Linked DNA regions of Macaca fascicularis. The protein of the gene in region 3 binds, or shares a complex with, the protein of the main gene of each other region. Links are inferred from orthologs where the notes say so. Each region holds a gene or a part of one and is shown on either strand. Other genes may lie near its edges.

Region 1 (5,321 bases), on a different chromosome or scaffold from region 3:
AAGAAACTGAGACCAGAGAGGGCAGGACTTGCAAGAGGTCACTGAGTAAGCTGGGGCACAGTTGAGGCCAGAAGCAACAGATTTCTACTCTGTGGGCTGAGAACTGCATCAGACCCAAAACAACAAAAAGACAGACCCGGAAAAGCAGGATCTCAGCCCAGCCCTGCCATGAAACAAGTATCACCTGCTTCTCTCTGGGCCTTAGTTTCCCCACCTGTAAAATGAGGAACTTGGGTGAAATCACTAGTTTTCAAACTTCTAAAAAAATTTTTTTTTACTAGCAGAATTGTTTTTCATATTAGCCCAACATATAAAATAAAAGGGAGCTATCTGGTTGGAACACAGTGTGGGGAAGGGAGACACAGCCTTCCTGCTTAGTCTCCCCCTATTCTCTCTCTCTCTTTTTTTTTTTTTTTTTTTGAGATGGAGTCTTGCTCTATCACCTAGGCTGTAGTGCAGTCCACAATCTTGGCTCACTGCAACCTCTGCCTCCCAGGTTCAAGCAATTCTCCTATCTCAGCCTCCTGAGTAGCTGGGATTACAGACACCTGTCATCACGGCTGGCTAAGTTTTATTCTTTCTTTCTTTTTTTTTTTTTTTTGAGACGGAGTCTCACTCTGTTGCCCAGGTTGGAGTGAAGTGGCATGATCTTGGTTCACTGCAACCTCCGCCTCCCAGGCTCAAGTGGTTCTCCTGCCTCAGCCTCTCAAGTAGCTGGGTTTACAGGCATGCACCACCACGCCCAGCTAATTTTTGTATGAGATGGGGTTTCACCATGTTGGCCAGGCTGGTCTTGAACTCCTGACCTCAGAAGATCCGCCCACCTTGGCCTCCCAAAGTGCTGGGATTACAGGCGTGAGCCACCACGCCTAGCCTAATTCTTGTATTTTTAGTAGAGACAGGGTTTCACCATATTGGCCAGGCTGGTTTCAAACTCCTGACCTCAAGCAATCCGCCTACCTCAGCCTCCCAAAGTGCTGGCATTACAGGCATGAGCCACTGCATCTGGCCCACTCTTCCCCTATTCTCTGGACCACAGTTTGAAAATCACAGACAGGTCAACCGAGGTCCTTCCAGCTCTAGTTTTCTACTGTGTTTCTTCCTCTTGAGAAGTTACAGCTCATCATGGACCCTTAATAACAGAATTCAACAGAAGGCATCGTCTGAAAACAAAGTCAATTCAGAAACTGTTGCTGCAAGAAGGCAAATAGAAAAACGGCACCATGTCCCACTGGAATCTCTTTCAGCGATGGAGAGTTTTGTTTTCTGGTAAAAAATATAGAAATAGTGGTTGTTCTTAGGGGGACCTGTGGTTTGGTTCTAAACCTCCCCACGGAGCCGAGTGGTGTCCCTGAGGGTGAGGAGGGCAGAAGTCTCTGCTCAGAGCTGCTCTGAGCCCATCCGCAAGTTTTTGATCTCCAGTTCCAACTGTTTGGCCTGGACCTCTCGCTGGGTCAACAGCTCCCGGAGCCTTCGGATCTCCTCCTGTTGTCGGTAGAACATCTGCAGTAACTGGGGAAGAAAGATTGGAAGGCAGGATCACCAGGGTGTCAGAACACCAGCTGAAAGCTAAACTGCTATCCGTCTTTGACTCAGAAAGGTGGAGGTGGTTACATTAACACGGCAGAGGGCTGATGAGGCTGTCACTGCATAGATCTTTTACAAACACCTTGTTTTCTTCACCCAGTAAATGAAATTCAAGAAGACTGGCATGTTTCAGATGTATTTTGCCTCCAGAGATCCTCCATGGAATAGAGGAAAGCATGCCTGGCTCTGAAGTCTGGGGATTGGTGTTTATGCCACCACTGAACTGTGTGACCTTGGGCAAGTTATTTACCCACTCTGAGCTTCCATTACTTTCTCCGGGAAATGGGGTCAGAAAACTGCCCTCATCATTATCATAATTGTTGCCGCTGTGCAGAATAGGTGTTAGATGTTGAGTGATGCCCTAAGGGCCTTCGTTATCCCACTGGAACATTTTGACACCCCTATAAGGGTGGCAGTGCCAGTGTCCCCACTGTACCACTGTGGAAACGGCAGCTTAGAGACATTCAGTCTCTGGGTCTGAGACCCTAAATTAGTACTCAGCAGAGCCAGGATCAGAATCCATCTGTGAGATGCCGGCCTCTGTGTTCTTAGCCACTTCAGACTGACTTCCAGGGCTGTTGAGAGAATTCAATCACATGCTATATCAAAGTGCCTACCCCAGGATCTGCCACACAGTAGGCACTTAACAAATGTGGACTTTGAAAGCACAGAAAATCCTATAATATCAGAACTGGAAAAACTTTGATATCCATCAGGTCAAACCCTCTTCATTTTACAGATGGTTTCCCACCATCTTTCTTTCTTTCTTTCTTTCTTTTTTGAGACAGAGTCTCACTCTGTTGCCCAGGCTAGAGTGCAGTGGTGTGATCCTGGCTCACTGTAGCCTCTGCCTCCTGGGTTCAAGTGATTCTCCTGCCTCAGCCTCCAGAGTAGCTGGGATTATAGGCACGCACCACCACACCCAGCTAATTTTTGTATTTTTAGTAGAGACAGGGTTTCACCATGTTGGCCAGGCTGGTCTCAAACTTCTGGCCTCAAGAGATCCGCCCACCTTGGCCTCCCAAAGTGCTGGGGTTACAGGTGTGAGCCACTGCACCTGGTCCCCACCATCTTTTTTTTTTTCAAGATGGAGTCTTGCTCTGTTGCCCAGGCTGGAGTGCAGTGGCATGATCTTGGCTCACTGCAACCTCTACCTCCTGGTTTCAAGCCATTCTCCTTCCTCAGCCTCCCGAGTAGCTGGGACTACAGGTGCGTGCCACCATGCCCGACTAATTGTTGTATTTTTAGTAGAGATAGGGTTTCACTATGTTGGCCAGGCTGGTCTCGAACTCCTGACCTCGTGATCTGCCCACCTTGGCCTCCCAAAGTGCTGTGATTACAGGCGTAAGCCCCCATGCCTGGCCTCCCACCATCTTTATCTATGCCCATTATTTTGGCATAAGACGGAGCTCACTGCCTGTTTGTTGAATGAATTAACAAAATGAGTCAAGCAACCAGGCCAGGCCACACAGATGGTTATTCTCATGCCTCATTTTCTCCCTTCTTCTCAGCCTGGATCTGCTGCCCTCCACCCCAGCTGCCCCATGTGAAAGGCCCACCCCGTTCTCCTTCACACCTCATTTTCTGTCTTTGGTGGGGGGCATTCGAAAACATCAAAGCCATTTGTCAGCCAGGATTTCTTCTCCTCCAGCCTGTGCTCTGCTGCCCATCTTGGCGTCTTCTCCTCCAACAGGGAGGAAGACCTCCAGCCATCTTCTGCAGCCAGCTTTTCTGCCTGGTTCAAGAGCCGGGGTGAGGCTGGGGCCATGGAATGGAAGACAGGTCTCTCTGCAGGCAGTGGGTGGGGTCTCAGCAGCTCAGAGCCAGGCCTAAGTGACACCAGGATTGGGTCTGGAAGGGAAGCAGAGCTGTGTGAGGACTGGGTGCCCATGGGCAGATGGGCATATAGGGCACCAATGACACAGGCAGCATGCACAGATACTCAGAGCCATGCTGACCCATGCAACAGGTGTGGGAAATACAGCTACATGTGGACAGGCACAAAGCCACAGAGCAGGGCTACCAGATACAAATACCCACATGTGCCACCCTCGAAGTGAAGCTTGTTTTGTAGGAACAGCACGGTGCGTGCACTGGAGCAGCCCCCCAAGCACTTCAAGCTCACGTGAGACCTTGCCCTTCCTTTGTAAGGACGGTCCCACCCACACTGCACCCCGCCATCTACCAAGTCCATTAGTTCTCTCACCACCTCCAAGAAGCAGGGGAGGCTGGCATCATGGCTACAGATGAGGAAACTGAGGCCCAGGGAGCAAAACCTACTTAAGGTTATCCAGAACTACGACTTGGCACTGGTTCCCTGTCCCCCAAGGCAGAGGCTCTTCCAGTATACCAGGAGGCCCACTCAGCCGCTGGGGTGGGGGTGAAGGAAGTTTGGGGGGTAGAAGGGAGAGGGAGCGGCTGGGGTGGCTGCTTCCGCTGGGCTGGCCTTCATGTTGGCAGGAGCAGGAGAGTGGCTCAGGACAGGCAGGGCAGGCAGAGGGACCTGGGTGGGGGTTGCTGCCTGGAGGACTTCTTGGGTCAAGAAGAATTGAAAAAGGCCAGGCACGGTGGCTCACGCCTGTAATCCCAACACTTTCCGAGGCAGGTGGAGCACTTGAGGTCAAGAGTTTGAGACCAGCCTGACCAACATGGCGAAACCCCATCTCTACTAAAAATACAAAAAATTAGCTGGGCATGGTGGCACGTGCCTGTAGTCCCAGCTACTCAGGAGGCTGAGGCATGAGAATCACTTGAATGCGGGGGTGGGGGTGGAGGTTGCAGTGAGCTGAGATTGTACCACTGCACTCCAACCTGGGCAACAAAGCGAGACTCTGTCTCCAAAAAAAAAAAAAAAAAAAGAATTGCAGAGCTAGGGGTGGGGAACGGGGATGGGGAGTCTGGCTAAGGTGGTCCAGGCACCCCGCATAGCCTCAGAGTGTAAAGAAGCTTTCCATGGAGCAAAGTCCCTTGAGCTGGAGTTTCCTGAGCCCTCAGGTCAAGCCCCCTGACTTTCTGGACCTGTATGTGACCATGCTACCCACTGGGGACTGAAGGTCAAGGGCATGACCTCTGAGGTTATGAGAGAATAAAAATCCAGGCCCAACCCCTCTCAGTTGCTTGGGGCCATTGGGCACTCCACGTTCCTGCCACATTTGTCTGGGCCTCTCCTCTGTCTTCCTCACCTTGATTCATCCCGCTGAGCCACTCCTGGGCCGTCAGGGAGGGCTGGGCCCCTGCTGTTGGAGGGTATATGTCCTCTTGGTAGGATTCCGACTGTAGGAGAAATCCAGACAGTGAGGAGGGTGATAGGGTAGGCTGCTCAGATGGGAAGGGCCCTTAGAGCTGGGAGTCCAGGCTCTCCCCAACCCCTGCTGAATTGAGGAAACGGAGGCCCAGAGAACAAAGGGACTTGCCCGAGGTCACGCAGCAGCTCAAGAACAGAGGTGGGCCAAGACCCAGGATTCCTGACGCCCACTGATGTCACCCTGCTGTGAGAAAGGCTGCTCTGTGGCTGCCCCATGAATGTGGGCTCCATGCTCTGGTACCTGACAGCCCTGGATCTGTCTTCTCCAGGACAGGTTCCCCACCTCCCTCCCACGCGGTCCCCACTGCCTTTACCCGCCGGGGCACAATCATGGAGATGGGCTCGATGAGGCTTTTGGTTGTGATCAGCTTGTAGAAGCGGAAGATCTCGCAGGAGGACACGTCAAGTCCTCTCTTTGGCATGACACCTG
Region 2 (5,979 bases), on a different chromosome or scaffold from region 3:
GCAGGAGAATGGCGGGAACCCGGGAGGCGGAGCTTGCAGTGAACCGAGATCGCGCCACTGCACTCCAGCCTGGGCAACAGAGCGAGACTCCGCCTCAAAAAAAAAAAAAAATTAACAAATATAAAATACAAAGCTTTATAATAACCATTCATTCAACTGTATTTATTATCTACGAAAAATACTGCACTAGGAAAAGTAGCCTCTACTGATAATTCCTAGCTCAAAATAAGCTAATATTTTGCCTTCTCCTCACGTCTCCCATACATACACTGTTACTCTGTGTGTACATGTTTTAACCATCAAGGAAAAATCAAGTTAATTAGATGCAAAGTTTAAAACATAATCATGCCTAATATGTCTGCTGTGTTCTGAATGTTTCTGTCTCCCTAAATTCATATGTTGGAATCCTAATTCCCAAGGTAATGGTATGAGGAGGTGGGGCCTTTGGGAGGTGATTACATCACCAGTGTAGTGCCCACATGAATGGGATTAGTGCCCTTATAAAAGAGGCCCCAGAGAGCCACCTGGCCCCTGCCACCATGTGTGAAAACAGTGAAAAGGTGACTCAGGAACAGCCCTCATGAAACACCAAATCCGCTGGGGAACTGATTTTGGACTTCCCAGCTTTCCGAACTCTGAGAAATAAATTTCTGTTGTTGACAAGCTACCTAGTTTATGGTATTTTGTTACAGTAGATTGAATGGGCTAAGACAATATCTTGCTTGCCTCATTTCCTACTACACATCTTCATTCTTGCATCCTTCCATGCTATATAATGGTAATACTACCTCCTACAATGCATCCTAATTCCTTCCTACTTTCTTTCTTTAAAAAAAAAAAAAAATCCCTGTGAGGGCATCCTTTCTACTTGCTACTCATATTCATGAGGCATTCTTCCCCTTCCCAAAATGATCTATAAAAACCCTATTCAACTTTCAGGCCCAGCTCAAAGGACACTTTTGAATCCTAAATACCTCAAGCGGAGTTCATAACTCCTCCCTCTCATACATTCATTCTCAATGGAAGGGCCCACACTTTCAAAAATCTAGCAATGTGATGTCTTAGGTAGGATGGCTCTTTATTCTGAAAAGTATATCATCATACCTCACTCAATATCATTTTTGCACCAAAATTAAGATTCTCTGCCCAGGCGTGATGGCTCATGCCTGTAATTCTAGCACTTTGGGAGGCCAAGGTGGGAGGATGGCTTAAATCCAGGAGGTCAAGACCAGACTGGGCAACACAGCGAGACTCCATTTCTACAAAAAGTTTTACAAATTAGTGGGGCGGCCGGGCGCGGTGGCTCAAGCCTGTAATCCCAGCACTTTGGGAGGCCGAGACGGGTGGATCACGAGGTCAGGAGATCGAGACCATCCTGGCTAACACGGTGAAACCCCGTCTCTACTAAAAAATACAAAAAACTAGCCGGGCGAGGTGGCGGGCGCCTGTAGTCCCAGCTACTCAGGAGGCTGAGGCAGGAGAATGGCGTGAACCCAGGAGGCGGAGCTTGCAGTGAGCTGAGATCTCGCCACTGTACTCCAGCCTGGGCGACAGAGCGAGACTCCGTCTCAAAAAAAAAAAAAAAAAAAACAAATTAGTGGGGCATGGTAGTCCGTGCCTGTGGTACCAGCTACTTGTGAGGCTAAGGTGAGAAGATTGCTTGAGCCCAGGAGTTCAAGGCTGCAAAGAGTCATGATTGTGCCACTGCACTCCAGCCTGGGCCACAGAGCAAGATCATCTCCAAACGACGATTCTCAGACTCACTCTTTCTGTGTAATCCACTAGCTACCTCAAATTTCAATTTAAGTTTATACTAGTCAGGTGGCAAATGAGACCATAAAGTGAATCATTCAAGCACCTAGCTGGCCTGGGCACTTGGAATAATAAGTAAGGCACGGTTGCTACCTAGAACTTACATTCCACAGGGAGAAACAGGTTAGCATACAATAACAGTGTGTGAAAGTGAAGGAGACAGACACAGGGAAATGACAGACTAAAAATGCAGGAGCGAGTTAGGGAAAATTCATAGATTAAATAATTTAATAGTACATCACTTTTCTAAAAAACAGATGGAGGGAAAAAAAGAAACTGACTAACCTCCTAGGGGAACATAATTATCAGGACTTAGTTGTGCCTTATTCCTCCCAGAGACCAAAATTTAGCTTGTTGCATATGTTGGAGCAATGTTTTCAATAAATGTACAGCAAACCACTTATAACCCAACTCAACGAAAAAATCCAACTGAAGCCTCAACCTATTTTCAAACAGAAAGAAAATTTGCAAATATAAGGTTCTCCCAACTAAAGGCAGACAGAGCAAAACAAATGAACTCTTTAGAAGGTTTAAAGAGACAGTCACAACCTGCCAAGCTGATTGTCAGTCTTCAAATGCCCTTGGTCTCTGCCTCCAAATGAAAACAAATCATTTAAGTAATAATAGTCAAGTCTGTAAACAAGTATTTTTAAATTTCTCCAGCTGTACCTCCACATTAAAAGATGCTCAAAAAAAAAGAAAAAGAAAAAGAAACTCGAAACATTTTTTAGCTATTTCTGTCAAAAGACTAGATCTCTCCTGAGGTCACAGTATGCATGCTGGCCCTCATTTCATTGCTCTGTAACACACCACCACTCCGGTTTTGCAATGACACTAGTTAATAGGCTTCCAGGATCTCTTCAATACCTCCAAAAACGAAAAGGAAGAAGCAAGCCTACAAATCCCTATCTGCCCGACCTACAGCTCCCGGGAAGCAACAGTCCTCAAATTGTTACTGCTTAGACCCCTGAAGCCCGTAGAAGGAAATGGGGACAGCTGCGAAAGCGAACCGAGCGAGGACATCCGATAAGGGAAGAGGAAACCTGGATGGGAGAGGACGAAGGGGAGAAGGAACACGGAGAGGAGGGGGCAGTGGAGATAAAATGGTGAAGAGGGGTGAGAAGAGCAAGGAAGAGCAGCGAAAAATAGGGAGGAAAGGGGGGGGAAGTAAAATTCACATAAGGGAAAAAAAGGCAAAATGATAGAGGAGAAAGGAGGGAAGGGTTAGGGTTAAAGGACAAGGAGTGGGCGACAAAAGGAATGCGAAAAAGGCTGTCACTGGGAGTGATAAAAAGGATGTCATCGGGGAGAAGGCAGATTCAGTGGATGTCACCTAAAGGGGTTCACCCCAGCAGGTGAATGGGGGAGCACGGACAAGGAGGAGCTGGACACCGAGGGGGCGGTAACGAGGGAAAGAGGTAAAGGCAGGGAGCCCGAGGGGACACCAGAGACAAGGAGGGGCAAGCCCGCAGGGGCTAGCGCGGCGGGCGGGGGCTAGGGTGGCGGGCGGCTGCGGCTAGGGCAGGCCTTGCTCCCTCACCATGGCTGCGCCGGCCTGGTCCTCGGGCATGCAGCCTCCGTCCTGGGTGCGGCGGCGGGCCGGACCGGAGCCCGCCCCCAGGCTGAGCCGGCGCGGAGGCTCCAGGAGGCTCCGGCGAGCGGCCGCTCCGGGCTTGGCCCAGGCCTCGGCCTCCTTCCCTTAAGCTAGAAGTGTAGCAGCAGCAGCCGCAGCCGCAGCCGCAGCCGCAGCCCGAACCCGAGCGCAGACTCCGCCCCCGCGAGGACCCGCCCGGGCGCGCGAGCCCGCGCTTGGCCCCGCCTCCGCTCTCAATGCGCAGACTCAGCCGAGGGCTCCCGCCCCCCCCCCACCCCGACCTGTAGTTTCTCCCCCTCCCAGACCCTTAAAGGAGCAACACACCCCTAAATCCTAGCCTCCCTTCAAAATATGAAGAGCTTTAAATATTACATTATGACAAGAGATTAGAGCACCGCTCGCTTAGGTCGCCTATAGACCCCTCTGTCACTCATCATCATTCTTTAAGATTTGGGCTTCTGGTTCACTGTCATTCATTACTACTATTGTCAAAATTCTTGGTGATTTCAAAATTCGCTTAATTCTTCCAATCCTCTGGCCTCGCAGATTCTTCTCTAGGGATCATTCTTGGCTCAGCCTCTCACTCTCATGCTCATACGAATAATTGTAACTTCTCTACAATCTTAATTTTAATCCTCTAACTCCCATCGCAACCTTCTTCCTTTCTTTTTTTCTTTTTCTTTTTTTTTCTTTTTTTTTTTTTTTTTTTTTTGAGATGGAGTTTCGCTCTTGTTGCCCAGGCTGGAGTGCAGTGGTGCGATCTCGGCTCACTGCAACCTCCACCTCCCAGGTTCAAGTGATTCTCCTGCCTCAGCCTCCCGAGTAGCTGGGATTACAAACACCCGGCACCAAGCCTGGCTAATTTTTGTATTTTTAATAGAGGCGGGGTTTCACCATGTTGGCCAGGCTGGTCTCGAACTCCCGACCTCAGGTGATCCACCTGCCTCGGACTTCCAAAGTGCTGGGATTACAGGTGTGAGCCGTTGCGCCCGGCCACAACCTTCTTCCTTTCTAGCTCACTCCCTCTGATAATACTCCAACTCCAAAAACTTCAACTCCAAGACCCTAAATCCATTGATCCAACTACCTTTTCGCTATTCCTCCCCACACTGGCCTCATGTACTGACTTTCTTCCTGAAACAGCTTAGATTCTATTGTCCATCATGAAATGGAATCTAATAGAATCTAAGCTGTTTTGGTACATGAGGTACATGAAGTCGATTTCTTCAGTATTACCTTCATTTCTCTAGTCGTTTTCTGCTTTCTTTGTACTGACGGAACTCCAGCAATGGAGTGGGTGGAGAAAAAGCCAAAAGTGGTTGACTGACTCCCCGTAAATTTGAGATCATTATTGTCAAGGGGCCATAATGCATGGCCACCCTACCACATTTCTCCAGTTTCACACACTCTCCCACCTTGCTACATAACTATTTCAAGTCTCCTGTCTCTTCAAACCTCCAACACTTCCTCCCTCATCCTCATTTAGCTGATGATTTTGCTTCCAATTCATGAGAAAATCAAACAAACCAAAAAGAACATCTACAAGTTCCCAGCACCCACCATGACTTCCAACTAACCTGTAACTCTGCTTTGATACTCTCTGCCTTCTTTTCCTTACTGCAAGCGAATTATTTGTCTTTTAGCTAATGTCAAATCCTCCTCAGTTCTCAAGCATCTGTGCTAAAAGACCCAGGTTTTATCCCCAATCACAAAACTAAATTTCTGTAAAATTAATTACTAGAAAAAATTAAAATTTAAAAACAAGCATCCAAAATGCAAGCCCAGACTTTTTAAAACCTGCTTAACCATTTTAAAGTGTATAGCTCAGTGGTATTAAATACATTCACATTGTTGTACAACCATCCCCATCAAGAACTCCAGAACTTATTTTTCTTTTATTTATTTATTTTTTGAGACAAGGTCTTACCGTGTCACCCATCAGGAGTACAGTGGCACAATCACGGCTCACTCAACCTCAAACTCCTGGGCTGAAGTAATCCTCCCACCTCAGCCTCCTAAGCAGCTGGGACTACAGGCACGTACCACCATGCCTGGCTAGTTATTTATTTATTTATTTATTGCAGAGACAAGGTCTCACTGTGTTGCCCAGGCTTGTCTCAAACTCCTAGACTCAAGTAATCCTCCTGCCACAGACTTCTAAAGTGCCGGGATTACGGTCGTGAGCCGATGTGCCAGGCCTCCAGAACTTTTTTATCTTGCAAAGCTGAAAGCTTGTACTCATTAAACAATAACTCCCCATTCCTAACTTCCCCCAATCCCCGGCCATCACTGTTCTGCTTTCTGTCTCTATTAATTTGACTATGCTAGGCAGAATTTTTATTATTAAATCCAGCACACATAAAATTTTTCTGTCAAATTGTTATAAAAGTTTCAAAATATTAATTCTGAATTGCTGTCACAAACTGGTGACAAACCATTTCTAGACGGTCACTAGTCCACTGATCACACTTTGAGAAGCTCAAGTACTAGATCTCATACCACATCACTTTCTCAAAGACACCTATCCAGCAATTCTTCCTCTCGCCTACATCACTATTTTTCTGCTATTACCT
Region 3 (5,836 bases):
CCTGCAGAAAACTGGGAGGGGGCCAGGCCCAGGTTCTAGCGGAGGTGTTCTCCTATCCAGCAGGAGTATATCGGAATATCTGAATTCCTGACACTTGGGACCTGCTGGAGATGGCCTCCCTGTGCAGGGACCATTTTCCCGCCTCTGTTCCTCACCTTAAAAGGTGAAAAAAAAATATTCTAACTAAGATGATGTTGTACAGAACCAGCGGTACTGATATAATTGATGGGAAAACTCCAGAAATTGAAACATTCACTTTTAAGTATGTCTACAATAAAGTTATTATTTTTGCAAACTGTCTCCTCCTTAAAACCACTGGCAGAGAGAAGTTCTCTGAGCCCAGTAAAGGGGCAGGTGGGGGAGCGAGGGTGGCAGCACTACACCACAAATCTCCATTTTTGCCCTACAGGTGTGTGTTCTATTAAGGGCTGGAATCGCCTTAAGGGCCGGTGATCCAGCGGTGAAAAACTCGTTGTCTGTATTAGTTACCCAGCTTGGTGGCTTTCCACAAGAATCTGCAGCACATTTGAGACATGACTACCCTTTAAAATAAACGCGTCATACTGAACATTCTTCTGTATTTTATTTTTCCTAATCACATCTTTTCTAGGAAAGACTTGTAAACTTTTCATAAAATCCTCAAGTGCCACTTCCGACACCAAAGCCACTGCCTGGGACCTTAGCAGGGAGGTTGCCGTCCTTCCCCCTCGCCTTCCAGGTGAAACCAGGGGCTCGGCGAATGTGTCAGGAGAGGAAAACATCCAGAAGGCAGGTCAAGTCACACATGACAATGCAAAGCAGAAACAGTCGCAAATACAATAGAGGATAGGTTTTTGTTTCTTTTCAGGTTTTGCTCCAGAACATCACTGACTGGAAAATAAACGTCAGTCCCTACCTTTGTGGAACGTCCAACGCAGCTGGCTGGGGGAACACGAGGCCTTGCAGGGAGCGAGTCCCGGCCCCGGTCTGACTGAGCACAGGCGACGCACGTGAGGTCCAGGCCCTATCCCAGCGCAGGCGGGCCTCCAGCGACCCACAGTTGTCACATATCCGGCCAGCGCTGATTCCCGAAGGCGCACTCCCCATACCCCACTCCGAGCACCGGTCCCATCCTTAGGGAAGGTCCTCCTGGGTAGCAAGGCCGGGGCCCAGGATCTGCGAGACCCACCCCACCCGCCCCGCCAGAGCCCAGGAGCAGCAACAGGTCTGCGCTCTCTCCGGGCGGCGCTCTGCAGACCCTCGACCGGCCAGGGGTGTCCCCAGCCCAGCTGTGCGCTCGGGCCGGGGAGATGGGCGGAGGACTGGGGCTCCTGACTTCCTTGACAGTTTCTGCGCCTCAGAAACTGAGCAGACGCGGGGCCCGCGCCACCTCGCCCGCCGCTTGCCTCACTTCGTAAGGCTGCGCTTCCACCCGGGTCCGGGCGGGCCGGCCCGCTTCCCGGGGATGAATGGGGCTCCTCTCCCCAACAGCGGGGAAATCCCGCCACCGCCCTCCACCCCGGTCCCCCGAGCCCGCGGTGGCGCAGGTTTGCCCAGCAAGCCCCAAGATCGGCAGACAAAGGGGCACCAGAGGAAAAGCCGAGCTCTTCCATAAACTTACCGGTCACCTACCCCTCCCCAAAACAAAGGAGCCCCCCGCCGACCTCTGTCTCTCCCCGCAAGGCGCGCCGGCACTTTGGGGAGCGGCCACCTCGGGGTATTGTTCAGCCTCCTGGGAGCGCGCCGCACCCCAGTCCGAGCGCCACGGGGACAGTTGGCGACCTGCGCCTCCTGTAGTTCCAGGGGCGGGTGGAGCGTCCGGGCGCCCCGAGTCGCCGGCCAGACCCTGGAGGGTCAGCGCGGGAACCGCCTCCCCGCAGAAGTTTGCGGACCCCGCGCCCGGCCCGCCGAGCCCCGCGCACTCACCTCGCCGCGAACAGCGCAACTTGTGGCGGCGCCGCGCGCCCGGCCGCGCTCCGAACCTCCCTCCGGCCGGCAGCCTCCGAGCCCCGGCCGTGCGGCGGCCGAAGAGGGCCCGGCGCCCTGGAGCAGCCGCGCGCCGCCCCCGGGCCGCCCCCGCCCCGCCGCCGCCGAGTCCCGGAGAGGGCGCGGGCGCTGGAAAGTTTCGGTGGCGAATGGCGGCCGGAGGGCGCTGCGGCGGCGGCGCGGCGGGGGCGCTGGCGACTCCTCGCTCCCGAGCGCGGAGTGGGGCCGCTGAGCCGGGCGCGGCGGCGGAGGCGGCGGCGGCGGCGGCGGGAGAGGGCGGAACAGCGGGAGGGACTGGCACGGGCAGTGACCTCCGCGGGGAGCGGTCGCGAGCGCGCGGACCCCAACCAGGACTACCGCCAGGGGTCCGCCCCCTCCGCCAGCCCCTCCCTCACGGCCGTGGGAGGGCACCCGGCGTCCCACCCAGCCCCGCCCCTGAGCCCCGGGGGAGCCGCGTCCCGAACCAGCCCCTCCCCCACGAGGGTAGGGACTCCGGCCCTGCCCCTCCCCCGCGGCTCCTAGAGGGGACCCGCGTCCCAACCCAGCCCCTGCCCCACGGTCGGGGGACCAGCGTCCCTACCAAGCCCGCCCCGCTCCCCAACGCCTAGGGTGGGTGAGGGGAACCCAAGCCTTTCCCGAGTTGCTCCGGTCCCGGTCCCTTCCCCGTGGCCTCCGTGGGACTGAGAGGACCCCAGGGCTACCCCCATCACATCCCAAACCCAGCCTTTCCACGACTGCCTCGAGGGGACGGGAACCTCGGCCACCCCCTCTGTTTCGGGGGGGCAGGGGAACCTCGGTCCCTGCTAAAGTGTTACCCTCCCCCACCCCAATAAGGAAGCCACCCAGCTGCCCCAAGAGAACCCCCTGCCACCTGCCCGATGGTGAATCTCCCTCAAAATAAGCGTCTTAGAAGACACCCCAGTAGTCTTTACCCCACCTCAAAAAGTGGGGGCTCCGGCGGAGCCTCGACCTTTGCAAAACACCTCCCAGGAAGAGCCAGAAACGCTTAGGGACAAACTCAGACACACAAGCATAGGCGCCAGGAGCTCGGGTGTGGGGGCTGAGGAGGTTAGGGGGACCTGGGCCCTCGGGCCTCAGCACTCCCACCCCAACCCCCAGGCTTCAGCCCTCTGGGCCTTGCAAAGTGCTTAATGTTGCAATGGCTTACACGGCCTGGCCCCGGTGCACTTAAGTCCCCAGCGCTCCTTCCTCCCCTCCACGTAGGCTACTCCCCACCACTCGCGGCCTTAATTCAGTTAAACAGATCTCCACTCCCCCTCCCCAGCACCTCTGGGGTCAGCCTTGTTGAATATTTTTCAAATATTCTTGCCCCTTCCTTTACTATATAATGAGCTTCGTGCTAAGAGTCCGGTGCACTCAGCAATCTAAACTATAACCTTACTTGCTCTTCCTCGAACACTAGACCATTTGTTGTTCTGGTTGTGGGGGGAGGGGGACCCGAGGTGAGGTTTTTGTTTTTGTTTTTGTTTTTCTGAGACGGAGTCTCGCTCAGTTGCCCAAGCTGGGGTGCTGTGGCACGATATCGACTCACTGCAACCTCCACCTACCTCCCTGGTTCAAGCAGTTCCCCTGCCTCAGCCTCCGGAGTAGCTGGGATTACAGGCGCACGCCACCACGCCCAGCTAATTTTTTTGTATTTTTAGTAGTTTTAGTTTCACCATATTGGCCAGACTGGTCTCGAACTCCTGACCTCAGGCAATCCGCCGGCCTCGGCCTCCCAAAGTGCTGGGACTACAGGCGTGAGCCACCGCGCCCGGCCGGAGGTGAGTTTTTAAGAGGCCGGTCCTCCATCAAAAAGGCGGACCTCAAAATTACCCTGCAAAATATTGCCGTAAAACGTCAATGATGCAAAATGACTGTTGCTACACCATCATTAGAGGACATCAATAAAAAAAATACACACTTACACAGTCTCCATAATTGTGAATCAGCAGAATAGATTGTGTCTTATTACGTATCAGTTGCCATTCAAGGCCCCCCAGAAGGACTTGGTGGGGCCTTCCCTTGAGCCTGCCCTTCGTTGCTCCCGGGCTCCCTGGGCTTGTGCAGACTGATGCTGACTATTACATGCAATCGAAAAACGAAGGGTGCAATAGAAAACCCGAGCGAAAGAGCTCATGATGCAACCCTGCCCTGGCTACACGTGCTTCCCTTCCCCCACCGCCTGCTGGTGGGAGCGCTGCGTTTTTTCCGCCTGTAGGGTCACATTGTGGTTGATTGATTCTCCTTTCGCCTTGCTCAGTCATTCAGATTTGGAAAGTAAATAACAAGTTGACATCATTACAGCTCTGGGCTTTACGCGGACGCAGCCCTCGGCTACCGCACACTCTGGAGTAGCTGCGCAGCCAACCGGCCTCCTAGCTTGCCAGACCTGCTTGTGGTTAGCAACTGGAAATTCAAGCTAAACTTGGTTAAAAGGCCTCTTTGTGTGTTTTGATCACTTGGCAGATGCCAATCTTTTAAAGTATGGGAAAGTGGTGGAAATCATCACTCTCAAACTGGAGCACTGTGTGGCCAGGATTTATAGCTGATCTCCTGTAACTGACAAAGCAAAAGAGCTCAGAATTCATCTTGACTGGTTGGTAATAGCCCAATAATCCCACCGGCCTTATTACCCGTAAAGAGTCAATATCTTTTATCATAGATTCACAGGGCCCCAAAGGACACTGTAAGACCTAAGACAGGAAGAGAGACCGCCTACATTTATCATGAACTCACCAAAATTCCTCTTTTTGAAATGCTAGATGGGCTGTACGGTAGGTGATAATTAGACTGTGTTATTTAATCTGTTTCAACGATTTTTCAAATGTGCAGTCCTATAAGGTGGGAGAAAACAAGGAAATAAAGTACAGCCGGAAGGAGCTAGTGTATTCTGAGAAAGCTGAAGGATAACAGGGCGAGGGGTCCACAATGATGTACACAGATACCCACTGCACTAGCCATGTGCGTGTGTGCGTGTGTGTGTGTGTGTGTTGCAAACACTTATTTTCAGTTATTGACTGGAGGGAGGGGAAAACAAGAATCTGCTTGCAACAAATACCACCAGCATTCCCCATATACAGTACCCAAAATTTTAATTAAAAGGCAGTAGGAATTCACACAAATATACTCAACTAATCTTTCACAAAGGAGCAAAGGCAATTCATCCTTTTTAACAAGTGGTGCTGGAACAACTGGACACCCATATGCAAAAAAAAAAAAAAAAAAAATTCTAGACATAGGCTTTATATCTTTCACAAAAATTAACTTAAAATAGAACATACTCCCTAACATAAAAGGTAAAACTATAAAAACTCTTAGAAGATAACATAGGAGAAAATCTAGATGACCTTGGGTTTGGCAATGACTGTGTAGCTAGAACACCAAAAGCATGATGCATAAAAGAAAAAAAACAGTAAGTTGGGCATCACTAAAATTTGAAAAGTCTACAAAAGACACTGTTAAGAGAATGAGAAGACAAGTCACAGAATGGGAGAAAATATTTGCAAATTCCATATCTGATTAAGGATTGTATTTAAAATATGCAGGCCAGCTTAGTGGCTCACACCTGTAAAACTCTGCTTGAGGCCAAGAGTTGGAGGCTGTTGTGAGCTATGATCTCACCACTGCACTCCAGCCTGGGCAACAGAGAAGAACTTGTCTCTAATTTTTTCAAGTGTGTGTGTGTGTGTATATGTGTGTATGTGTGTGTACATATATATGTACATATGTGTATATGTGTGCGTGTGTATATATATAATTCTTAAAACTCCACGATGAGAAAATAAACAACTGAATCAAAGAGCAAACAATCAGAAAAAAATCTCATCAGAGATATACAGATGGCAAATAAGCATACGAGAAGATGCTG
Region 4 (5,999 bases), on a different chromosome or scaffold from region 3:
TTTGAGATGGAGTTTCACTCTTGTCGCCCAGGTTGGGGTGCTGCAGTGGCGTGATCTCAGCTCAGTTCAACCTCTGTCTCCCAGGTTCAAGCGATTCTCCTGCCTCAGCCTCTCCAGTAGCTGGGATTACAGGTATGCATCACCACACCCAGCTAATTTTCGCATTTTTAGTAGAGACGAGGTTTCACCATGTTGGCCAGGCTGGTCTCGAACTCCTGACCTCAGGTGATCCACCTGCCTCCCAAAGTGCTGGGATTACAGGTGTGAGCCACCGCGCCCAGCCTGCCGTATTTTCCAGATGAGAAGATTGAGGTGGAAAAAGCTCCCATGCCCACATTCTCACAACCAGGAAGCCGCGGCATAACTTAACTTGATTTAATTGCAGTTCTCTGTGACCATGATTCTTTGTATTTATTCCATCAATGGTCATTACAAAGATGGAAGAAGGGTACTTATAACCGAAGCCCCAAGCACAATGGCCATTTGTCATCTAAAACAAATCTGTATTTTCTCCAACCACCAGACACTTCAACAAGTACAGTTCTGAAAGGGTGTCCCCATTAGACACCCTGTGGCCCTATATCACAAGGGCAGCCCCTGATGTCTTCCCCACCATTATCTGGTCCCCACTGTTCTCTGACTTTCTTGCCAACTACTCTTCCCCTTCTTCAACCTGCTCCAGTCCCCCATCGTCCCGCTGTTTCTTTCTTTTTTTTTTTTTTTTTTTTGAGACGGAGTCTCGCTTTGTGGTCCAGGCTGGAGTGCAGTGGCCGGATCTCAGCTCACTGCAAGCTCCGCCTCCCGGGTTTACGCCATTCTCCTGCCTCAGCCTCCGGAGTAGCTGGGACTACAGGCACCTGCCACCTCGCCCGGCTAGTTTTTTGTATTTTTTAGTAGAGACGGGGTTTCACCGTGTTAGCCAGGATGGTCTCGATCTCCTGACCTCGTGATCCGCCCGTCTCGGCCTCCCAAAGTGCTGGGATTACAGGCTTGAGCCACCGCGCCCGGCCGTTTCTTTCTTTTTTTTTAAGACAGAGTCTCGCTCTTGTCACCCAGGCTGGAGTGCAACGGCACAATCTCAGCTCCCTGCAACCTCCACCTCCCGGGTTCAAGCAATTCTCCTGCCTCAGCCTCCTGAGTAGCTGGGATTGCAGACATGAGCCACCACGGCCAGCTAAATTTTTTTGGTACTTTTAGTAGAGATGGGGTTTCACCATGTTGGCCAGGCTGGTCTTGAACTCCTGACCTCAGGTGATCCAGCTGCCTCAGCCTCCCAAAGTGCTGAGATTACAAGCGTGAGCCACTGTGCCTGGCCCTCGTGCTGTTTCTTCAACTCACCAGGCATATGACCACAGGACCTTTGCATTTGCTGTGGAATGCTCTGCCACAAGAGAGCTACCTGGCTTGCTCCCTCACTTATCTCTGCTCAAAGGTCACCTTACTAGAGGCCTTCCCTGAACACCCTCTATAAAAAGACAACTCCCAACTCCATCCCCATAGTCCTTCCTTCTTTATTTTTCTCCAAAGCACTTATTACCACCTTACATATCATGTTTATTATTTGCTGAATGAACAAATGAACCAAAGTAGCCAGGCCCTTCACCCCGGCCACCACTTTCTGCTCTAAGTATAGCCTCCTGTGACCCTTTTCAAAGCTATGCTTTCATGTTCATCCTCACCAGTTTGAAGCCTGAAGAGAAACATTCTGTGAAAGATCATATATGGGAGGATTTTCCCAAGACATCAGATATTCCCCTCCCCTTAAAAATCAAATGCACTAGCCGGGCGCGGTGGCTCAAGCCTGTATTGCCAGCACTTTTGGAGGCTGGAGGGGGCGGATCACTCAAGCCCAGGAGTTCGAGACCAGCTTGGGTAACAAAGTGATACCCCACCTCTATTTAAAAAAAAAAAAAAAGGAAGAAAAGAAAAACAAAACAAAACGAATGGACTTACAAACACAGGCAAAGACTGGAGACCTGCGGCTCTTTCGGTCAAAGAGCAGCCAAGACAAGATCCACCCACAGAGCCATAGTGGCCAGCACAGTCAGTTTCACTATCAACTCACCTGTCGGGCCGGCTCCCTTGGCCCTCCGGTTGCAACCTCACCCTGTTGGATTTCCCTATACTTTGTGTCATCCCTTTTGGGAGCTGATCCAGAATCCAAGTCGTCCCTGAGCTTCTAAGCACTTCTCTGGGGGAACTTAAGCTCATCCAACAGGTAGGAGGGGCAGAGGGTGGCCCTTTCAGCCTACACCGATCCCCCATCTTGTAGGGGCAAACGACAGAGCGTCATTTTCTTTCTGGAGGAAGGGAGCTCAGTTTTAAAGACACGATTCTCAGACCTGGCGGCAGGGATAGAGAAAGGAGCCCTCCCACCACTGGCCAAGATGGACCTCAGAGAGTGGTTGCAGCGGCGATGCTTAGGCCCAGTAGGCAGGAGACGAAGGAGGACGCAGGTACATCCCTTGGCCCGGGGTACGGGACCTACCCTGGATGGGGCTGCCCTCAGCGTCGGGAAGCGGACGTGATGCTTCGCAGGCGAGGAGGAGCGGAGAATGCAGCCCAGGAGAATCCGGGGCCAGAGCACCTCAGGAGGTTGGGGATCTCGTCAGGCTAGACCCGGGGTCCAGGGGAGACGGGGGTCGGCGGGGCGGAGCTTGGGATCCCGGGGACGGGAGCTCCGGGAGGAAGGGGGTCGCGACGGGGACCCCGTGGCGGTTACCTTGCCCTCAGGGCTGCCGGCGGGGCTGAGGCTCCCGGGCCCGGCCCCTCCCCCGATCCGGCTCCTACGGCTCGGAGGCTGCAGCCGCCGCCGCCTCCGCTGTCAACAAACCTGGGGCGCGTCACTTCCGGGGCCGCCCCTTAGCAACAGCGAACGGGTTCCCCCGATTAGTCCCGCGGCTAACGCGGGCGGCGACGGCGGAAGGTTCCGGCGACCGGCGGGCGGCTCCTTTCCCGGGCCCGGCACATTAGGCCGGTGGAGGAGGCCGCCGGGTACGCCCCCAGGCCGCCTGAGAGAACGCGTCATTCAGGGCTCTCCCTGGCCTCCGAGGGGCCCATTCGTGGGACCCCGGGATCAGTGCCCGCCCGGGCGCTGCGGTTCACCTGAGCCCAACACTGCTGAAGGGCAGGACTGACTGGGCGCCAGCCCCCTCCATCCAGCGCCCTACTGAACATGTCTTGCGTTCTCCACGGGTGGCTCACAATCGCGTGTCCACCCGCAGTCATCACCGTCCCCCAAAACGTGCTACTAACCTCCATCTAGGGCATGAGCCACCAGGCAACCGAGCTTCCAGATGGGAAATTGGGAGGCGACGTCGGCCCCTGCATTTCCCTGGGCCCCTTGTCCAGTCTCCAAGTCCTGAGGATCCTCTCAAACCAGTCCCTTCTGGCCGAGCGCCGTGGCTCACGCCTGTAATCCCAGCACTCTGGGAGGCCGAGGCACGCGGATCACCTGAGGTCAGGAGTTGGAGACCAGCCTGGCCAACACGGTGAAACGCCGTCTCTACTAAAAACACAAAAGTTTAGCCGAGCGTGGTGGTGCGCGCCTGTAATCCCAGCTACTCAAGAGATTGAAGCAGCAGAATCCTTTTAATCCAGGAGGCAGAGGTTGCAATAAGCTGAGATCGCACCACTGCACTCCAGCCTGGGCGACAGAGGGAGACTCCATCTCAAAACACCATCATTTCTTTTCTGGATTTATATTTTTTTCTTTTCTTTTCCTTTCTTTCTTTCTTTTTTTTTTTTTTTTTTTTTTTGAGAGACGGAGTTTCCCTCTTGTTGCCCAGGCTGGAGGGCAATGGCCCTCAGCTCACTGCAAACTCCCCGGGTTCAAGCAATTCTCCTGCCTCAGCCTTCAAGTAGCTGCGATTACAGGCGCCTGCTATCACGTCCAGCTAATTTTCGTATTTTTAGTAGAGATGGGGTTTCGCCATGTTGGGCAGGCTGGTCTCAAAGTCTTGGCCTCAGGTGATCCGCCCACCTCAGCCTCACAAAATGCTGGGATTACAGGCACCAGCCCGGGGCTTGCTTTTCTATCCAATGTGAGAAACTCTGCCTTTTACTTGAAGTGTTTAGACCTTTACATTCACTGTGATTATTTTCCTGGTTGACTCTAAGTCCATTTTGCTATTTGTTTCTTTTCTTTTTTTTTTGAGACGGAGACTCTCTCTGTAGCCCAGGCTGGAGTGCACTGGTGCGATCTTGGCTCACTGCAAGCTCCGCCTCCTGGGTTCACGCCATTCTCCTGCCTCAGCCTCCCGAGTAGCTGGGACTACAGGTGCCCACCACCACGCCCGGTTAATTTTTTGTATTTTTAGTAGAGACGAGGTTTCACCGTGTTAGCCAGGATGGTCTCGATCTCCTGACCTTGTGATCTGCCTGCCTTGGCCTCCCAAACTGCTGGGATTACAGGCGTGAGCCACAGTGCCCGGTCTGCTATTTGTTTCTTATTTCCTATTTGTTTTCTGTTTTCTTTCTTTTTTTGTTGTTGTTTGAGACAGTCTCGCAGTGTTGCCCAGGCTGGAGTGCAGTGGCTTGATCTCCACTCACTGCAACCTCCACCTCCCCCCCGCCCCCCGCCGAGTTCAAACAATTGTCCTGCCTCAGCCTCCAGAGTGGCTGGGACTACAGGCACATGCTGCCACACCCGGCCTATTATTATTATTATTTTATTTAATTTTAGTAGAGACAGGGTTTCCTGGTGTTGCCCAGGCTAGTCTCGAACTCCTGAGCTCAGGCAATCAGGCCACCTCGGTCTCCCAAACTGCTGGGATTACAGGCGTGAGCCACAAACTGGGCTTTTTTTTTTTTTTTTTGTGAAACGGAGTTTCACTCTTGTTGCCCAGACTGGAGTGCAATGGCACAATCTTGGCTCACTGCAAACTCTGCCTCCCAGGTTCAAGTGATTCTCCTTCCTCAGTCTCCCAAGTAGCTGGGATTACAGGCGTGCACCACTACACCCAGTTAACTTTTGTATTTTTAGTAGAGATGGGATTTCACCATGTTGGCCAGGCTGGTCTCGAACTCCTGACTTTGTGATCTGCCCGCCTCGGCCTCCCAAAATGCTGATATAACAGACGTGAGCCACCACGCCCGGCCCAAGTGATGTATTAATATGAGAGTTCCCATATAGTCACATCCTCATCAACAATCGTTATTGTCTCTCTGATTATATCTAAAGGAGTGTAAAACTGTACCTCCACCTCCTAGGCTCAAGCAGTCCTTCAACCTCAACCTCCCGAATAGCTGGGACTATAGGTGCGCACCACCATGCCCAGCTAATTTTTGTATTTTTTGTAGAAATGAGGTCTCCCTATGTTGCCCAGGTTGATCTCCAACTCTTGGGCTTAAGCCTCAGCCTCGACAACCCCATCTGCTGAGAATATAGGTTGTGAGTCACTGCGCCAAGCCCAACAGCTTTTTTAAGGATTCAAGACTGTACGAACATAGCTGTAGGTGGTCAAAGATTAAAAGGTACTATGCAAGAAAAAAAATCCACAAACTTAGTTCTTGGAATGGAGGGGGGCACCTGTCAAGAAAGGGTTCCTCAAGAAAAGAGCGTCTAGGCAGGGCGTGGTGGCTCCTGCCTGAAATCTCAGCACTTTGGGAGGCTGAGGTGGACAACACCTCAGATGGACAACACAGTGAAACCCTGTGTCTACTAAAAATACAAAAAAAAAAAAAAAGGCCAGGTGTAGTGGCAACTGCCTGTAGTCCCAGCTACTTGGGAGGCTAAGGCCAGACTGGGTGACAGAGCAAGACTCTGTCTCAAAAAAAAAAAAAAGAAAGAAGAAAGGAAGGAAAGAGAAAGAAAAAGAGAAAAAGAAAAGGAAAGAGAGAGAGAGAGAGAGAGAGAGAGAAACGGAAAGGAAGGAAGGAAGAAAAAAAGAAAAAGAAAGAAGGAAAGGAAGGAAGGAAGGAGCGGAGGGGGGGGGTGGCGGGCTGAGTGTGGTGCCTCAAGCCTGTAATCCCAGCACTTTGGGAGGCCGAGACGCGTG
Region 5 (6,022 bases), on a different chromosome or scaffold from region 3:
TTGTATTTTTAGTAGAGACAGGGTTTCACCATGTTAGCCAGGATGGTCTTGATTTTCTGACCTCGTGATCTGTCCACCTTGGCCTCCCAAAGTGCTGGGATTACAGGCGTGAGCCACCACGCCCGGCCCCCTCCCTGCTTTTGTGCTCAGCTTTGTTCTGTACGTTTCTTCCTGAGCTCAGACATCTCCTGGCTCTCTCTCTTGCTCCTCCAGATCACGGTGCTGTCTGCCATGACAGAGGAGGCAGCTGTTGCAATCAAGGCCATGGCAAAATAACTGGCTCCCAGGTGAGTGTGACAAATCCCTCACTATCCCCTTCACATTTTGTTGTCCTCAGCAGATCTGCTCTAGTCTTAATTGTTCCAGGCTTACTTTGTGCCCCTAGCCTGGCCCTGTCCTCCCTATCCTTCCTGTTGAAGGTATTATCCTATCTTACTAATTTCTCTCTCCTACCTAGGGTGGCGGTGGTGGCAGCAGTGATCCTCTGAACCTGCAGAGGCCCCCTCCCCCAGCCTGGCCTGGCTCTGGCCTGGTCGTAGGCTGGACTCCTACACAAATTTATTTGACGTTTTATTTTGGTTTTCTGCACCCCTTCAATCTGTCGGGGAGCCCCTCCCCTTCACCTAGCTCCCTTGGCCAGGAGCAAGCGAAGCCGTGGCCTTGGTGAAGCTGCCCTCCTCTTCTCCCCTCACACTACAGCCCTGGTGGGGGAGAAGGGGGTGGGTGCTGCTTGTGGTTTAGTCTTTTTTTTTTTTTTTTTTTTTTTTTTTTTTTTTTTTTTAATTCAATCTGGAATCAGAAAGTGGTGGATTCTGGCAAATGGTCCTTGTGCCCTCCCCACTCAGCCCTGGTCTGGTCCCCTGTTGCCCATAGCCCTTTACCCTGAGCACCACCCCAACAGACTGGGGACCAGCCCCCTCCCCTGCCTGTGTCTCTCCCCAAACCCCTTTAGATGGGGAGGGAAGAGGAGGAGAGGGGAGGGGACCTGCCCCCTCCTCAGGCATCTGGGAGGGCCCTGCCCCCGTGGGCTTTACCCTTCCCTGCGGGCTCTCTCCCCGACACATTTGTTAAAATCAAACCTGAATAAAACTACAAGTTTAATATGAAGCCCCCAACTCAGCTGCTTATTTGAATTAAATGGGTATATTTGGAAGCTACAAAAAGACTGAACTCTGCCACTGAGTTCATGGAACCCGCTGTCTATCACTGACTTGCTGTGGACCTGCCAGTCATCCCCCCACCCCCCAAGCAGCCTTGACCTATTCCAGACAGTTGGGTGGGAGGCAACACAAACAGCAGCAGCCAGGGTCAGTGGCAGGTAGATTTTATTGGCCTGGGACACACGGGGGGTATCCTCACCCACAGTGGGGCAGGGGGCATGATGTTGAAGATATAATCTGATCGTCACTTGTGGTAGAATCGCGGGTTCTGGCTGTGTTGGATGAAGGGGAGCCGAGGGCCAGGTTGGCTGGTAGCTGCAAAGCCCGACTGGCGGTGGTGATGAAAAGAGGGCTTTGTCACTGGGCGTACTCTCCCACTTAATGCCCTACTGGTAACCACCCCCAGAGAGGAAGAAAAACCAGGTGATGTGGGCCACCGGTCCTACCTAATCCTGCTTTTCTGGATCCCTAGTGTAAGGATTCTGACAGGTAAACTTTATTATCATTCTTACCTTTCCTGCTGGTTGCATCTGCACAGGGAGCTGTGGGGAAGCAAGGAGTCCAGGGGCTGGATGCAGAGCCTGGGGGTGCATGGGGCGCAGAGAGGACTGCAGAGAACAGAGTCAGGGCCTGAGGCATACTGATGCTCCCCTTAACATATCCCTAACCCTGACCTCCCAAGATGCCATACTCACTGAGTCGGAGAAGCCAGTCTGCTGGTTAGCATGTTCCATCTGCTTTTGCAAGGACAGGGCACCACCAGGCTGGAGGAAACCTACGTGGGGAAGAGGGGCATGTGAGATGAGAATGAAACAGGGAGGGGAGGACCCAGAGAGCTAGAGCTCCTGCATGGGATGTTATCACCTGTCTGAGTGGGCTGAAAGTGGCCGTGCACGGCATAGGGCTGTGGCTGTGGCTGAGATAGGTACTGCACTGCAGGGAATGCTGAAGGAGCTGAGAAAGGAAAAGACAGAGCCATTAAAACCTTTTACTCAACGGCATTCCTCCTTTGACGTTGAGGAAGGCCAAGCCCCATCCCTCCTATTACTCACCTCTGAGCTGCTGACTAGGACTATAAGCTGGCTGTGTGGGCCCATAGTGAGGTGGGGGCTGAGCAGTCCCATAGGCACCACCAGGACTGCCTTGGAATTGTCCATGCTCTGGTGTCCCCGCAAAAGCAGCTGCTGAGCCCACATAGTGCCGGGTCTAAGGAGGGAGAATGAGAATTCGCCTATAAACTTGAAAGCTGAAACCCAGTGACTTGTGTATATCTGTATGCCCCATTTCCCCCTAAACTTAAGTGCTTGATATGTTTGTGACTTGAATACTGGTGGCAAGGATGCATGGATGGAAGCAGTAGGGGCTGGGCATCCAATCCTACTCTCACCGTAAGCACTTGGGGTCCAAACATTTGTTTGGCTCTGTCAGCTGCCATGAGGGTGCCTGGGCGATTGTGTCCTCCAGGGCTCCCTAGAAAGGGAGAAGGGCTTCATGATGCTGAAATGGGAGGCTGCAACCTGTAAGAAGGCCGGTTCCATCAGGTGGTCTCTTTAGTCCTCACCCTGCATGCTGAGGAGATGAGTTCCTGTGTGGACAGTCAGGCTCTGCTGGTATGCAGCTGATGTCAGGGTGGTCAGGTCACTGGAGTGAGAGGAAGGCAGGTCAAAGCTAAGGACAGATGCCTTCTCTTTCGCCATTAAACACTAGTTCTTTTATTACTTGATCCCAGTTCCACTTGGCCCCCATTTCAGTTTTTAGTACTCTGATCCTACCTCTGTTCCTTTCGCCTCCGTTTTTCTTCCTCATGTAAAACTTTCTTGAGCTGCAGGAAAAGCTGATGCTTCTCTTCCTGTAGGGCCAAAAGCTTCTCCTCCAACTTCAGAATCTGGGAGGGAGTGGGAAGAGAAGATGAAGGCAGGGAGAGTCAAGGGAAGAAATCAAAGCTGGGAGAGTTCAAGGGACTGCTTACTTGTTCCTTGGTCTCCTCTAGTGACATTCTCTCTTCCATCTCCTTTTTCTTCCTTCTCTCCTGTTCTTCCTTCATCTTCTGTTCCATCATCTTATCCACCTCTTCTTCCTCTGGAGAATCAGGCAGAATGAAGAAGAGGCAGGGTAGTGAAAACAGTTCCAACGTTAGATTGAAGACCAGCAAAACCCAGTCATCCCAACACGCCTGTGCGCTCTTTGCCTCGAGGGGACAAGCTCCCCCATCGCTGCAATAGGGAACGGAGAGGCTTTATCAGGTGCTCTCCAAGGTCCTTCCCGTCTCAAGGGTTCTGGAGCGTGGACCAGGACGCTTAAATCCCACCACAACGGGGCTATTCCTTCCCTCCTCTGCGCTCGGCAGCGGGCTCACTGGTTGGCCGCTGGGTTGAGGCCAACCCTGAGGTACAGGAGCCATTCTGGGCCGTGTGTCCCCCCGCTATGGCCCCGGCTCACCCTGCCGCTTGCGCTCCCGCTCCATCATAATGTGCCGGTGCAGCGCCCTGGCCATGGCGTTGGAAAGCTTGGGGCGCTCCAGGAGTGCGGGCATGGTGCTGCCGTGGGCGCTCGGGCCGTGGGCGCCCGGCTCTGTCTCTGACTGCCAGACCTCAGACGGCGCCTGCGGGGAGGCGGGCGCTCAGAGGGGACCGCGCCCGGCCCAGGCGGAAGCCCGTCCGCCCGACCCGCTAGCCGCCCCGGTCACGTGTCCCAGGAGCCCGCCACCCGGCCGGGCCCGCAGCCCCCGCTCCACCGCGCGCACGGGCGGCGCCGGGATCCCCGACTCGGTGCTGCCGCTCCCTGCCCAGCCAGCCCGGACGCCAGCCCTCCCTACCCGCCTTCTCTGCGCTTTCTCAGCAGCTCCGGCGCGCCCTGGCCCGTACGTCACATCCGGCGGCCCGGCCAAGTCCTTCCGGAGTCACGGCTGCGGCCGACCTCACGGGTTGGGTGAGAGAAAGCGGAAGCGCGCTGCGACGGGTGCCCGCGGCGTCCAAACCCCGTAGCCGGGAACGCGGGCGACGAGGGCTGTAAACTGGTCTTGGCATCCTCAGCTCTCTTTAATTTCGCGGGCCCACCTGGTGGCACCCCAGGGGACGCGGGCTCCGGGGAGGGGCGCGCGAGAGAGAGGCCGAGGCGGAGGCTCTGAGACGGTGTTTATTGGCTCCTTAGAAATCAGAGTCAGTAACAACTGTACAGAGGCCCCCATCTTCCGTGCGCCCACCCTTCCCCACTCCCGCCTGGTGGCCCCGGAAAAAGCAGCTTCATGTGGGCACAGGGAGAGACTCCTCTGGGATTCACAGTAACCAGAAACAAAAACGGAAATAAATTAAGTGATGTGGGGAAGGGGAGTAAAAGGGAGTCATGTTCCCCAAATCAGTGCATGAAGAGGGGTACCAGGGCCTGGAGCTGGGCTCCCACGGCTCCTCCCATCAGACGGAGTGCTGGGCCTCCAGACATGGAGCTGTGCCACTTGCCACCTACATCTGAGAGCCTGCCTACATGCTCCTGCGCGGCTGCCAAGCTCCAGCACCTGCGCATGCCACGAGTCACGGGAATGAGGTGGAGGCAGTCGCCAGAGTCCATGGGCCCGAGGCCCGACTGTGCTTGTAGTATTTGTGTGTCACCCCTCATTCCACCCGTACCAGCAGGGCATAGAGGAGTGTGGCCCCCTTCTCCTTAGTGACCCACTCAAGTTCGGCTGGACTGAAGTGAGGGTCAGGAGGTTCTCCAAGGGCAGCGGAAGGGGGTCCCGGGGTGTAGGAGCCAGGGCGCACACACACCTGGAACGCCACCTGAGCCTGGTGCGTCCGCTGGGATTTGGGGTCCCGGAATCTGTCAAACAGGAAAAAATAAGGGAGTGAAGCTTCTCTCCCCATCACCTCCCCCTTGCAAAGTCTGTTCCAACCACACAAGCCTTGCTGTACCTAGGAAATACTCCCGCCTTATAGGAGCTTCACTCTAGCTGTTCTTTCTACCTGAAATGTTCTTCCTCCCAAAGCCTGCTCAGCTACACCCTTCACTTCCTTCTTCAAGCCTTTGCTCGAATCTCTCCCACCTTCTTACGATGCCCACACCAGCCACACTGCTGTCTCCTTCGCCCCCCTCTTTCCTACGATGCCCACACCAACCACACTGCTGTCTCCTTCGCCCCACTCTTTCTTACGATGCCCACACCAGCCACACTTCTGTCTCCTTCGCCCCACTCTTTCCTACGATGCCCACACCAGCCACACTGCTGTCTCCTTCGCCCCACTCTTTCTTACGATGCCCACACCAGCCACACTGCTGTCTCCTTCGCCCCACTCTTTCTTTGTTTCCATAGTCCTTACTTATTACCTTTAAAAATACTAAATACTGGCTGGGCGCGGTGGCTCACGCCTGTAATCCCAGCGCTTTGGGAGGCCGAGGCGGGTGGCTCACGAGGTCAGGAGATCGAGACCAGCCTGGCCAACATGGCAAAACCCTATCTCTACTAGAAAAATTAGCCGGGCTTGGTGGCACACGCCTGTAGTCCCAGCTACTCAGGAGGCTGAGGCAGGAGAATCGCTTGAACCCGGGAGGTGGAGGTTGCAATGAGCCGAGATCATGCCACTGCACTCCAGCCTGGATGACAGAGCAGGACTCCGTCTCAAAAATAAATAAATAAATAATAAATACTTATTATGTATGAACATTATAGAGAGAAAAGGCAGAGGTTCCACAAGAGCAAGGTTCCTTTTCTTGCCCACTAGAAGAGTATATAAGTGGTATTTGTTCAATGAATGAAAAAAGGGCTGAGTTGGAGACTGGCAGCTAGCAAGAGGAGGTGAGAAAAGGGGAGGGCAAATCATGAAGACCCCAGTGGCTGCGCTCAGGCCCTCTTCATCCGAGCCCCTGGAGAT

The links.
Region 1: TBL1X (region 3) and CORO2A share a complex: the UniProt entries of both Homo sapiens proteins name them as parts of the N-Cor repressor complex. The link is inferred for Macaca fascicularis from reciprocal best matches to the Homo sapiens genes TBL1X and CORO2A.
Region 2: TBL1X (region 3) and ZYG11B share a complex: the UniProt entries of both Homo sapiens proteins name them as parts of the E3 ubiquitin ligase complex. The link is inferred for Macaca fascicularis from reciprocal best matches to the Homo sapiens genes TBL1X and ZYG11B.
Region 4: TBL1X (region 3) and ZER1 share a complex: the UniProt entries of both Homo sapiens proteins name them as parts of the E3 ubiquitin ligase complex. The link is inferred for Macaca fascicularis from reciprocal best matches to the Homo sapiens genes TBL1X and ZER1.
Region 5: TBL1X (region 3) and GPS2 share a complex: the UniProt entries of both Homo sapiens proteins name them as parts of the N-Cor repressor complex. The link is inferred for Macaca fascicularis from reciprocal best matches to the Homo sapiens genes TBL1X and GPS2.

The regions. Positions count from the first base shown.
Region 1 is NC_088389.1:59,997,937-60,003,257, reverse strand, and holds part of CORO2A (coronin-2A), read right to left. Parts: intron 5,319-5,321; coding exon 5,206-5,318; intron 4,861-5,205; coding exon 4,770-4,860; intron 3,439-4,769; coding exon 3,164-3,438; intron 1,513-3,163; coding exon 1,381-1,512; 3' UTR 1-1,380.
Region 2 is NC_088375.1:181,984,210-181,990,188, forward strand, and holds the start of ZYG11B (protein zyg-11 homolog B), read right to left. Parts: upstream 3,584-5,979; 5' UTR 3,383-3,583; coding exon 3,353-3,382; intron 1-3,352. UniProt on the Homo sapiens protein: Serves as substrate adapter subunit in the E3 ubiquitin ligase complex ZYG11B-CUL2-Elongin BC. Acts to target substrates bearing N-terminal degrons for proteasomal degradation with the first four residues of substrates being the key recognition elements.
Region 3 is NC_088395.1:9,143,167-9,149,002, reverse strand, and holds the start of TBL1X (F-box-like/WD repeat-containing protein TBL1X), read right to left. Parts: upstream 4,117-5,836; 5' UTR 3,894-4,116; intron 2,344-3,893; exon of another isoform or gene 1,906-2,343; intron 1,339-1,905; exon of another isoform or gene 896-1,338; intron 1-895. UniProt on the Homo sapiens protein: F-box-like protein involved in the recruitment of the ubiquitin/19S proteasome complex to nuclear receptor-regulated transcription units. Plays an essential role in transcription activation mediated by nuclear receptors.
Region 4 is NC_088389.1:15,181,324-15,187,322, reverse strand, and holds the start of ZER1 (protein zer-1 homolog), read right to left. Parts: upstream 3,431-5,999; 5' UTR 3,256-3,430; intron 2,836-3,255; exon of another isoform or gene 2,489-2,835; intron 1-2,488. UniProt on the Homo sapiens protein: Serves as substrate adapter subunit in the E3 ubiquitin ligase complex ZYG11B-CUL2-Elongin BC. Acts to target substrates bearing N-terminal degrons for proteasomal degradation with the first four residues of substrates being the key recognition elements.
Region 5 is NC_088390.1:7,368,251-7,374,272, forward strand, and holds GPS2 (G protein pathway suppressor 2), read right to left. Parts: upstream 4,034-6,022; 5' UTR 3,980-4,033; exon of another isoform or gene 3,904-3,979; intron 3,763-3,903; 5' UTR 3,694-3,762; coding exon 3,600-3,693; intron 3,240-3,599; coding exon 3,130-3,239; intron 3,046-3,129; coding exon 2,933-3,045; intron 2,802-2,932; coding exon 2,722-2,801; intron 2,631-2,721; coding exon 2,548-2,630; intron 2,367-2,547; coding exon 2,213-2,366; intron 2,115-2,212; coding exon 2,025-2,114; intron 1,936-2,024; coding exon 1,856-1,935; intron 1,769-1,855; coding exon 1,673-1,768; intron 1,489-1,672; coding exon 1,405-1,488; 3' UTR 1,309-1,404; downstream 1-1,308. Other genes in the region: EIF5A (eukaryotic translation initiation factor 5A-1), read left to right, coding at 214-276; NEURL4 (neuralized-like protein 4), read right to left, coding at 4,769-4,973. UniProt on the Homo sapiens protein: Key regulator of inflammation, lipid metabolism and mitochondrion homeostasis that acts by inhibiting the activity of the ubiquitin-conjugating enzyme UBE2N/Ubc13, thereby inhibiting 'Lys-63'-linked ubiquitination.